3 linked regions of the Oryzias latipes genome follow. The protein of the gene in region 3 interacts with the protein of the main gene of each other region in a biochemical or structural test. Links are inferred from orthologs where the notes say so. Each region holds a gene or a part of one and is shown on either strand. Other genes may lie near its edges.

Region 1 (3,754 bases), on a different chromosome or scaffold from region 3:
TATTTATTTTTTCTTCAAATGTTTAGATATATACCCTTTTCTACTTTCCAGTAAAAGTTTTAATACAAAACTGCACGATCGTGTAGGAAAAACGACAGAGGAAGTCATACTGTCTGCTGCAGGGTCGAGAGTTAAGGAAGTAAATAAATCAAAACGATCGTCGTCTGTCGCAAAACCAGCGACCAAAAAAAAAAAGGTGAAGAAATGAACCGTGAATTTCAATGAGATGCTTTCGTTACCGACCTTACAAATGCTCCACGATCGGTAGTCTTCTTTCGCTAACATTTAAAGATGGTCATTCTTTTCCTCACAGCGTAAGCCTTACGCCGTAAGGAAAGTGAAACTGATTACGTGCAGTGCCGTTTTTGTCCGATAGGGGGCGACACAAGGCTATATGAACGTGTGTGTGTGTGTTTGTTTGTGTGTGTGTGCAAGTGACTTCGACGTTTCAATGAACGTCCCAGGGAGATAAAAAAAAGAAAATGTGTGAGTTCATTTATTATTTAATTTTACAATAGGCTGGCTATAAACAATATATTTTTTAAATAAATATGATATTGTTTTGCTGGACTTTGTCTTATTACACTTTCTTAAAACTTTTGTGTTGGTAATAAAACATAAAAAAACTTCCTTTTACTCAAACAATATTGTAATAGTCAGTATGGCAACCAAACTTTTAAAACAATGTTTCACGATTTTAAAAAGGTTTTGAAACATTTTAAATATTGAAAGTTAAAGCTTTGGAGAAAAATTTAAACAAGAAATACACTTGTGTCAAAATGTAGAAAGTCTTGAGTCTGTATCAGTTCTTAATGGGGTGTGCTCATATGATGCTTTTCTGAACAACTGTACATGCATTTTCTTAAATGTTTAAATTTTTTTAATTGGCTAAAATGTTATTTGACACAAGTATCATGTGACAATAAATGATAATGAACGTTAACTATATTTAGATTTATTTTAACTAATTTTCCCTTATTAATGCTGTATAACTTAATTATACTTCCATTCCTAACTTGAAATGTTTAAGGATTTGAGGAAGTACATTTATTGCCATCCATCCATCCATCCATTGTTCCCTCTAGTATTGTTGTACTGTTAAGTTTAAATATACCAGTAGGTGACGCTGTCAGTATGTTTCCACTAACAGTCTACCAGCATTGAAGATTCGTAGAAGAAGATTGACATGTTTTTGTCCAATCAGCGGCTTTGTTGCAACATTCTTGCGCATGCGCCGTAGAACAGGCATCCCTTGTGCTCTACGTCGTGTCCGGTGGAGGTCACAGGCATCCAAGAAAGCTAAGGTGAGTTATGTGATACAGCACGATTAAGCCTCGGACAACTTTTGAGATTTTTCCCTAAACATTACTTTGCACATTTTTAGGCAGTGCTACGGAGTTGTTTCAAGCATAGCTTTTATAAATAAACATGTTTGGTAGACGGAACAGCCCTGCTCAAATCCATCATGCATGCCCAACGTAAGCTAGCTTGCGTACTGAGGCACCACTAGATTGTTTGATAAAAGCCTTTTTGCCGCACTTTTATGTAAACATTAACGTGCCAAACTCAATTTTATCTGTTGCAACCATACGCTGAACCGATCACTGCGAAACTCATGTTAGCTTCTGAGCTAACCCTAGCCACCATCTCTGCCGCTTTGACATCATTCAAGGCCACATACGCAACCGTTACTGGATAGAAACTATTAAAACACCCACTTTCTACTGACAGTTAAGGCTTGGATGACTTGTGTTAGTCTGTACTGAAGTTGTTTTCTTGTTAACGTGTGTGATGACCTCGTTTTCATCGCTTCCAGGTTTCTGCCATGGCTAAATTATTTGAGTCCATTGGAAAGTTGGGTCTGGCTCTCGCCATTGGAGGAGGCGTTGTGAATTCTGCACTTTATAATGGTGAGTCTAAAAAAGAAAAAAACGAGTCATTTAAAGAAAGAGGGTTCTGGTTCACTCTATATTGGTAAAATAGCTCTCAATTTGCTTGTTGTCTTTTGTTTTTAGGAGTTTGAAATCCCTGGTTACTTGTTTAAACCCATTAAATCCCGCCAATATGGTATTGACACTAGAAACAAGTTATTGTTAACTTTGTAGCCCCATGTAAAAAAATAACTCCAGAATAACACAATGGGTTTTATGCAGTCTCTCCACAATAACTCATATTTAAAATGACATAATTAAGGAAAATGTTTATTGTTTACTTGACTGACACCGGTGGAGGATGTTGCATTAACACCATGCTGCACTGTTGACCTGTGAAGGGGACATAAATGTATTGCATTAATGATCTTTAAAAAAATACTTGAAAAATACAAAACTTAATGAGAAGCTTTGTAAGCAGTAGGTCCACATAGGCCCATTGTTTCTGTTTGAAAGGTCCATGACTAATTCCTTTACATTTATTAATAATTTCTTAATCTTTGTTTTAGTTATATTTAATTATAGATTTACAATAAACAGAAAACTATAGAAAAATCATTAAACCTTTAAAATACTAAAAAAAAAAAACATATGATAGTGCTTGTTTCTTTACACTGGAGAGGAAACAAATTTTTTTTCACACTATACAAATTCTTAAATTGGTTTTATCTAATGTTTTTATTCTTATTTTAGTAAAAAAGTAGTTTTCTAATGCAGACTTAAATGCAGCCAAGGTTGAATCTGCATCTCTGACACTGTTGCTAAGAAAGCTAAATCTCTGCTAATCTTAAGCTGAAATTTAAGAGGAACTAAAAGTAAGTAATCGCTGGATGCTGGCACCTTAAACCACCTAACCCTTTAATAGCTTTAGAAACAAATACAATCTTTAGGTCAATCCAAAGACTAACTGGAAGTCGGGCTAGAAAAGTGGAGATGTGGCTTTGTTTAAGGGATTCAATGACACATCAAGCAAACAAATGTTTAGTCCCACTGCAGGTAAAAAAGTGTCATGACTAACACCCATTATAGAGCATCACAACAGTATAAACAAGTGCTAGTAAACGCCTGCAAAGTCTAAGAAAGCTTTAAAGGGCTTATTCTTTAAAGTAGCCTTACGTGGAAAAAGCTCACTCCAGCAACCGATATAACATATTTGTCCTAATTAATGTCATAGTCAATTTTACATCTTTGATTGTCACAAATTCAGCTTTATTTACAAAACACTGAGGTCTCCACTGGGTCAAAAGGATGACTTTGAACCACAGAGTTACTGAGGACCATCTAAATATCACAAAAGTTTTACTTTCTTTAGCCAGGATGACCACCTTCAATTATTGAATTGTCCTTATTTGAAATAAATCCATCTATTTTGTTTTTGCATTATAAAAATGTGTTCTTTGTTTAGTCATAATTATTCTGTTAATTAAATTTTGTCAACATTGTGTATTAAACTTATAATATGCACTGATAATCTACCAGTGCATAATTCTGACCATATATTGGCCTCTAATAGCAGTTCTTTGTCTAAAACTAAAAGGAGCCCTTCCTGCTAAAATGTAATCATGTTTGAAATGACTGACTGTTGGTTTGTTTGTAGTTGATGCAGGGCACCGGGCTGTAATATTTGACCGGTTCAGAGGAGTGCAGGACATTGTGGTTGGAGAAGGAACTCACTTTCTCATTCCCTGGGTTCAGAAGCCGGTCATCTTTGATTGCCGCTCACGTCCACGCAATGTGCCCGTCATCACAGGCAGCAAAGGTACAAGTTCTTGTTTAATTTGTCATGTTGTGTTCACACTGAATGCAATTGACCCAGTTTTAAT
Region 2 (3,754 bases), on a different chromosome or scaffold from region 3:
TTGAGCTATAAATGCTTAAATTGTGATTTTTGAATGTTTCTTTTTATTATTACTTTTCCAGAGGTTTTTACTTTACCTTTATTCTACCAGGTAGTCCTATTGAGACAAGATCTTTTTTTCAAGGGAGTCTTGGTCCAGAGGCACATTTCAATACAAAAAAATACATAAAAACAAACATCATTAAAACCACATACATCATGAGAAGCAGTTGCACATTATTGTTTCAGTCTCTGATGCTTTGAGCTTGTTCTTAAAAACATTTAAAGATACCAGTTCAGTTAGTTTCCAGTCTTTCTGCAGCATTTTCCAAGCAGGAGGAGCAGAGTGGACTAAGGCTTTTTCCCAGCTCTGTGCAGCAAATGGAACAGAAACAACCGTCTAAGGATCAGAGGAGTGAGATTCCACACTTCTCCTTGTGATTAAGGAACAAATGTAGGGAGGGAGTAATAACCAATAGTAACTACCAATAATAATAACCAATAATAATTACCAATAATAATTACTAATAATAATAACCAATAATAATTACCAATAATAATTACTAATAATAATAACCAATAATAATAACCGATAATAATAACCAATAATAATTAACAATAATAATAACCAATAATAATTACTAATAATAATAACCAATAATAATTACCAATAATAATTACTAATAATAATAACCAATAATAATAACCGATAATAATAACCAATAATAATTAACAATAATAATAACCAATAATAATAACCGATAAAAATAACAAATAATAATGACCAATTGTAGTAACCAATAATAACAACCAGTAGTAAGAACCAATAATAATAACCAATAATAATAACCGATAATAATAACCAATAATAATTAACAATAATAATAACCAATAATAATAACCGATAATAATAACCAATAATAATTAACAATAATAATAACCAGTAATAATAACCGATAATGATAACTAATGTCCCTGCCTCCTAGTGGCCAGAGAAGTTTTTGCCTTCAATGTGTTCGTGCTTTTGTTTTTTATAAAGTTTTAGAAAAAAAAGTTGACATCCGGTACATAAGAAAGGGGGAGAGGGGGGCGTAGGTTTCTCGCCTCTGATTGGTCAGAAGGGTAAAGTTTTCGCGCCACCGCACTGCATGCTGGGAGCTGTTAGCGGAAGCGACGGGAACCGTGTTGTTGTGGTGAGAGCTCGGCTCCGCCGTTGTTTGGTTCTGTGGGTCGGATTCGAGCTGCGCGGACGGGCAGCGCTGGTTCTGTGGATGAGAGGGGAGGAGTCTTCGGATTCTGAGTCGGGGAGGATGGAGGAGAGTTCGGTCCGGAGGAGTTTGGAGGTGCTGTGTCAGGAGCTCAACATGGACGAGCAGACAGCCAGTGAGGCCATGGACAACTTCACCTCCATATGGAACACATACACTCTGGAGGTAAACGACTGGCTTCGGTTCGGTTCGGTTCGGGGGGGGGTTAGAGTCTCCCGGGGGCGCTGTAGACTGACCCGCTATGAGCCAACGAGCGCTTCTGCTCTGCGACCTCCGGTCATGATATACATTAATACATGATGCTGTGACGTGAGTTTTCCTGAAGCTTACCGGAGATTTTTGTGTTTACACACAGAAACACTGAAATGAGGCTTATTTGTGAGACTGAGTTAAAACATCCAGGTGTTGATTTGAGTCATAGGATTGTTGTTTACGTCCGTTGTTGAATCAACGTCACAGCGAGATGCTGCAGGTGACGGGAAGAGGAGCCTCGTCTTTAGGTTTACCTGGTAACTAATGGCAATAAATAGATGGCAATAAACGGAAGGTGTATTTATTATCTACAACATGGAGGTGGATGCACTGAATTTTTAAATATGAAGTCCTTATTTTTTTAGCAAAAACTAAGAAAATATTAGCAAGAAAACAGTATTTGAGGGGCGTAAAGAGAATTATAAATTCCTACTGATTGAACAGGGCAGTGAACACAGCACGACTCACCTGCATAAAGGAGGATTTGTAATCAAAGGCGTCTAATATCTGGATTTTTGATTTGATGTGGCTTTAAAAGGGACTCTGTTCATTTATCTGTTGCTGTCTAGAAAAGTGACCCAAAGAACAGAAACGTCCAAAACTTTACTAGATTTGTTTTAGCTCTTTGATTAATATACAGTAATAATAATCACACATTTTATTTAGATGGCGCCTTTCTGAGCACTCAAGGTTGCTGTACATCATATGTACTTATATAAAATATAATAAACAGTTAAAACAGCAATTTAAATAAATACAAATAATAAAAATATTTAAAAACAGGAAAAGGTTACAGTGAATGGGCCATTTGGAGGAAATGAGTTTAGTTGTTTTTATTTGATGATTTTTTATGGATTTGTTTGATCTCAGGGTTGAGATGGTGGATTTGTTCTGTGCGCTCCTGCTGCTGTTTAACACGATGGCGTTGAAGATGGAGATGCCTGAAATTCTTCACATGATTCAATGTTTCTTTAAATGTAGAAAAATGACGTCACTCTGGTGAATAAATTCAGCATTTTTGTAGCATATTTGGTTCCAAACGGATCCAAATGTTGTACATTTAGTTGTAATAACTGGATTTTATGTTGATGCGTTATTTTAACTAGACGAGTGAACGTTAGGAAATCGTTTATCTCTGTTGTTGTCTCCATAAAACAGCTGTTACACCTCATTATGAATTCATATGGTTAAAGATGTAAAGTCTATTTTGAGCAAAATGAAAAGAATGAAATAAAACGCAGTATTTTACTGAAATGTGACTGAATGCTGAACGTGTTCATGTTTCATCTACTAGCTGTTCCTGAGGGTTTAGCACAGGGTTTTGTTCAGAAGAACCTGAACCTTTACCAATCATTTCATTCACGCACCAATGGAGGCACAGCTGCCATGCCAGACGCTAACAGGCCCAAGGGCACTCGGGCACCGGTGGGTGGGCAGAGCTGGACGATGCAGAAATGTGCCGTTGTGTTCCTGCAGGGGGAGGTGGTCCACTGGCTGGCCTGTTCTCTGTACGCCGCCTGCAGGAAGGGGTCCACCCCCACTGTGGGGAAGGGGCTGATGGAGGGCAACTGTGTGTCCCTGACCCGGATCCTGCGCTGCTCCAAGCTCAGGTCAGGTTCTGCTCTGCAGCTTCTGCTGGATTTTACAGCCAGTCCCGGTCAAACGGGATCCGCCTGTGCAACTTTGGGATTTGCGTCTTCATGTTTGGTCCCGTTTGTTGTCGGCCCCCCTCCCAGCCTGATCCAGTTCTTCTCTAAGATGAGGAAGTGGGCCGACATGTCAAACCTGTCACAAGACTTCCGGCTGAGGATGGACCGGCTGGAGCGAAACTTTGAGGTGTCCACCGTGATCTTCCGCAAGTTCGAGCCCATCTTCATGGACATGTTCCAGAACCCACAGGGCAGCGAGCCCCCCCGGCAGCCCCGCAGCAGGAAGCACAGGTGGGACGCCGGCGCGCCTCAGGCATGACGGTGTATACTATATACATGTCCACAGTATACTATATATACACACATACACACATGGTGCATTGCGTCTTGTTGGAATATCTTGAGTTCAAATAAAACCCGAGCAAAGGTTTTGACAAAAACAAATACATTTTAGGCTTTTGTCTTGATGTTTCATCCTTTTTACTGATCTGAGACATGATCCAAACCGTGAGTGTTGGGATCCGTTGCAGCTCCATCTCTACTGCAGACACAGCTTGAACTCTGACCTCCACGTCAGAGACGCTGCTGCATGTTTGCACCGACAGCA
Region 3 (3,754 bases):
CCGCCTTAAACCTCCTCCACAAACAAAACACACATCCAGGTGGAAAACAGGTGATCCTCCGACTCCAGCTGTGAAGACGTTCCAGCGGCACAGGCAGGCCTCGTTTGGACCACGCCATCGAAACTTTTATTTTCTTTAAGGTAATATTTATAACCAGCCTTTAAAGAAACTCCAAGCCCCGCCCTCTCTGACGTGGCCACGGGACCTGGATTTCGGAGCCACGGCGGGTCTTTTGGTGGTTTAAAAATAGAAATCCACCGATGAAGATTCTGCTGAAGGAAACATCTTAGAACTGAACGGTCAAATGTGGATTTCAGTGATAAAAAAACAAAAGGAACTGAGGCTCAGCCTTCAGCAGAAATTCTCCTTCAACTTCTCATCCCAACGGCCCCAAACGTCTGCGGACGGAAACGCTTCACGCAGCATGTGGACGCCATGATGTCATGAGTCAGTCTGAGCGTTACGCAATCCAAAAGATGTAAAATGATTGGTGGTCCTGTTCAAAAACACAGGACCTGGACTGCTCTATCCTGCATTAAATTAGGATTTAGATAGTAAAGAATTCATTAAACACAGTTTCTGACTCATGAAAATGTGAAATAGGAGGATTTTATAGTATTTTACGCACCGGGTCCTCCTAAGACCCGGTCCTTTTGAAAAACCGCTGGACCTGGACTCATTTTTATTTAATCATTTTAAAGTTTTTGTGGCTTTCCTGCTCGCAGCGCTCTGTTGTTTGGGATTCTGTTGCCTCCCCTCTTGTGAATTCGTGTCGTCTGCCTGCAATGCAGCTCACCAAACGACGGCAGACTAAAAATAGATCATTTTAAATTGATCAACTACATAAAATCATCCCATTTCAATGTTCATAAATCAGAAGCTGTGTTTAATGAATTCTTTACTATCTAAATCCTAATTTTAATCCAGGTTTGAGCAGCCCAGGTCCTGTGGTTTCTGAAAAGGACCTGGTCTAAGGTGGTCTTAGGGTGAAAAATGCAGTGGAATGTTCCTTTAGTGCCCCCGCTAACCGGACGCCAGCTTCAGCGCCGTGAAAGGATGCCGAGTCGGCGCTCCTGCTCCTGAGCGTGCGGCGTACCTCTGGGAGGAGCAGGAGTAGAAGGAGGTGCTTGGCTGGCGGAGGATCGGGTGGTGCTGACATACTGGTGGTCGCTATCCAGGTCCAGCTTCCTCTTCACCTAATCATCAAATGAAGAGGAATCGATTATGTGAACCCCGGCGTGTGATGATGTGGCGGCGGCGGCCGCCTTGAAGCCACGCCCTCACCGGAGGTCTTCCCAGAGCCGGCCTCCTCCTGTCCTGGCCCCCCGCGTCGGCGTGGCTCTGCGGCGTGGCGAATAGCAGGATTTCCCCCGTGCTGCTGGGGGCGGCCAGCGGGTGGAGTCCCTCATTGCTGGGGCTGGTGATGATGACGATCTGGTGGTCCTGGCTCAGATCGATGCTCCCGGAGTTCAGCAGAGTCTCAAAGTCCTTCAGCAGATCCTCGGATGTCTGACCCGTTATCAGAGTCTCTGACATGGCACTGCCTGCCGCCCAAAGGGCTCCTGCAGCAGACTGGGGGAATGCCAGGGAGGGTGGGGGCACCAACTGGGGTATCAAAACAGGCTCAGCACCAGGTGACCCCAAACATGTTAGGAGGACTTGAGGAGAAAATGCTGATCCATTAACCTCTCCTCCTCCTCCTCCTCCTCCTGCTGAAGGTTGACCTACAGCGAGCCTGAAATCTGCAGATCAACCACAGAGGAGTCGAAGGTTCAAACGTCAAGGCGAGACGTGGAGCCCAAACAGGAAACGACCCGCTGAGCGCATCCTACTTTAGGCTCACGCGCTGCTCGGCTCGCGCGCCGTTTTCAGCGGAAATAAAAGAAGGTCAAAAGACGAAGTAGAAGAAGAAACCCGCCGTAAATTGAGATCATGAGCGAGCTAGCCTGCTAGTCTTTCGTTTTCCTGTCAGAGGCCTCGCCACTCCGTCCTCAAACACAGAGCTACCAAGCTAACGAACTAGCTTACCACAAGAAAAGACTACAACAACTTTGCTAATAAACACGAACAACAGCAGAGGACTACATTTACCACCACTACCTAAAAGTTTATCTCCTTTTCCCTACGATATGGCTTCATTAACGGGTTCGGAAAACTTTATAGACGCTCACAGAACTGGGCTATCTAAGCAATAAAAAAAATACACATTCACTCGGCGGAGGCATCATGATCGCAGATCCACACCATCTTTGAGAAAATAGTTCCCAAAAGAAAGCAACCATCCGTCCGGGCGACGGCGACGACAGAGAGTTTAGCGCGGAAATACGGGGAACTTTAGCATGCTAGCTTCAGGGATTAGCTGCAGTTCTTCGGTCCCCCTCGTACTGTTGGGGCACGCAGGAAGCACTCGGAGAAACGCGGGAGATGCAGACAAAACGGAGGAAATACTCGCTCAAACGTTAAAAAATGTGCCGATGCTCCTTCGTCTGCTCGCCGAAGATCGGGTCCATCTGTAAACGAGCCGCGCCGACCCCATTAGCAGCCGTCATTGTTGTTGTCCCAGCTGATCTATATCTAAACAAGGCTGGACGGTTTTCGCGCGAAATCCTTTTTGCCGCGAAACTGGCACGTGGGGAAAAGCGACCGCTGGGATTGGCCAGTGGGATTCGTTTTGCGCGTGACGCGATTGGTGTCTTCCGATTGGTGGAAATGGCCGTCTGTCACGTTACAGAGCATGGGGAAAACTGGCCTTCCATGTGACCAGGTTGGTGTTCTCTGATTGGCGGAGATGGCCGTCTGTGACTCTCCAGAGCACAGATTTGCTGATTGGGAGGTGCATTCACGTTCCACGGACAAAAGGCTTCTTAACTGCTTTGTTTAGGAAATTTTAAACAAAATAGTAAAACACGTAGTGTCAGTTTCATGTAAGGTTTCCCAAAACTAAAAGATAAACTCCTTTACCATATTAAATATATGATGTAACAGTCTTTGCGTCCCAGCTTAAAAAAGTTACGTTTTTTCAATGTAGTCCCTAGCGCTCCCTCTCCGTTTAAGCAATCAGATTAACAAAAAATAAAGTTAAATCTGATTGCTTAGGAACTTTCTAAACTAGAGTTTTCTGGGGGTCTGAACCAAATGTGATAAGTTTTTTTCTATTTGCAAATATTAATGTAAGCATTTCATTGGGGGGTCTGCACCTAAAGTAACAGACCCTACCAATCGATCACCGATGGTAAACAGGAGCGCTGTAAGATGGCGCAGACAATATTCGAGGCGCTGGAAGGTACAAATATAGTCTTATTTACCGCGCAATTATTAAATATGTTATATGCCAAAGAAAACCACATCATGTAAATTAACTGGAGACTTGTTTGAACACTAAATCACCCTTTAAACGGGTATTATGTAGGCTGTAAGCACCCTGAACTGAAGGGTTCTGCCTGATCTGATGATGATGATTGTAAACAACCTGATTATATTTTAAAGATTAAGACTGTACTGCTATAAACGGCTTTTTTTGTAAATGTAATATTAATTATTTCTGTAATATAATAACTCATCTCGTATGTCAGTGTAAAAGCTGTACATGTGACAATAAAAGCTATTCATTAATATGTGAACATGCACTCCTCGCGTTATTGTTTCTGTCACTTTCATGGAGAAGCAGATCTTCTTCTAACATGTTGTAAAAAGAAAAGCTGTTACTGATGTTAAATCCCTGTTTCCCTCCATCCCCTCAGGCATGGACAACCAG

What was found.
Region 1: the proteins of e2f1 (region 3) and phb form a complex in vitro, tested with the Homo sapiens proteins (2 studies listed by BioGRID). The link is inferred for Oryzias latipes from reciprocal best matches to the Homo sapiens genes E2F1 and PHB1.
Region 2: the proteins of e2f1 (region 3) and rbl1 form a complex in vitro, tested with the Homo sapiens proteins (2 studies listed by BioGRID). The link is inferred for Oryzias latipes from reciprocal best matches to the Homo sapiens genes E2F1 and RBL1.

The regions. Positions count from the first base shown.
Region 1 is NC_019866.2:5,517,796-5,521,549, reverse strand, and holds the start of phb (prohibitin), read left to right. Parts: upstream 1-1,190; 5' UTR 1,191-1,229; coding exon 1,230-1,304; intron 1,305-1,816; coding exon 1,817-1,910; intron 1,911-3,528; coding exon 3,529-3,690; intron 3,691-3,754. Other genes in the region: uncharacterized protein LOC105354523, read right to left, coding at 244-285.
Region 2 is NC_019863.2:32,787,078-32,790,831, reverse strand, and holds the start of rbl1 (retinoblastoma-like protein 1), read left to right. Parts: upstream 1-1,139; 5' UTR 1,140-1,249; coding exon 1,250-1,411; intron 1,412-2,974; coding exon 2,975-3,108; intron 3,109-3,234; coding exon 3,235-3,438; intron 3,439-3,754. UniProt on the Homo sapiens protein: Key regulator of entry into cell division. Directly involved in heterochromatin formation by maintaining overall chromatin structure and, in particular, that of constitutive heterochromatin by stabilizing histone methylation.
Region 3 is NC_019865.2:2,000,296-2,004,049, forward strand, and holds the start of e2f1 (transcription factor E2F1), read right to left. Parts: upstream 2,742-3,754; 5' UTR 1,833-2,741; intron 1,743-1,832; 5' UTR 1,537-1,742; coding exon 1,285-1,536; intron 1,197-1,284; coding exon 1,097-1,196; intron 1-1,096. Other genes in the region: znf341 (zinc finger protein 341), read left to right, coding at 3,253-3,283, 3,741-3,754. UniProt on the Homo sapiens protein: Transcription activator that binds DNA cooperatively with DP proteins through the E2 recognition site, 5'-TTTC[CG]CGC-3' found in the promoter region of a number of genes whose products are involved in cell cycle regulation or in DNA replication.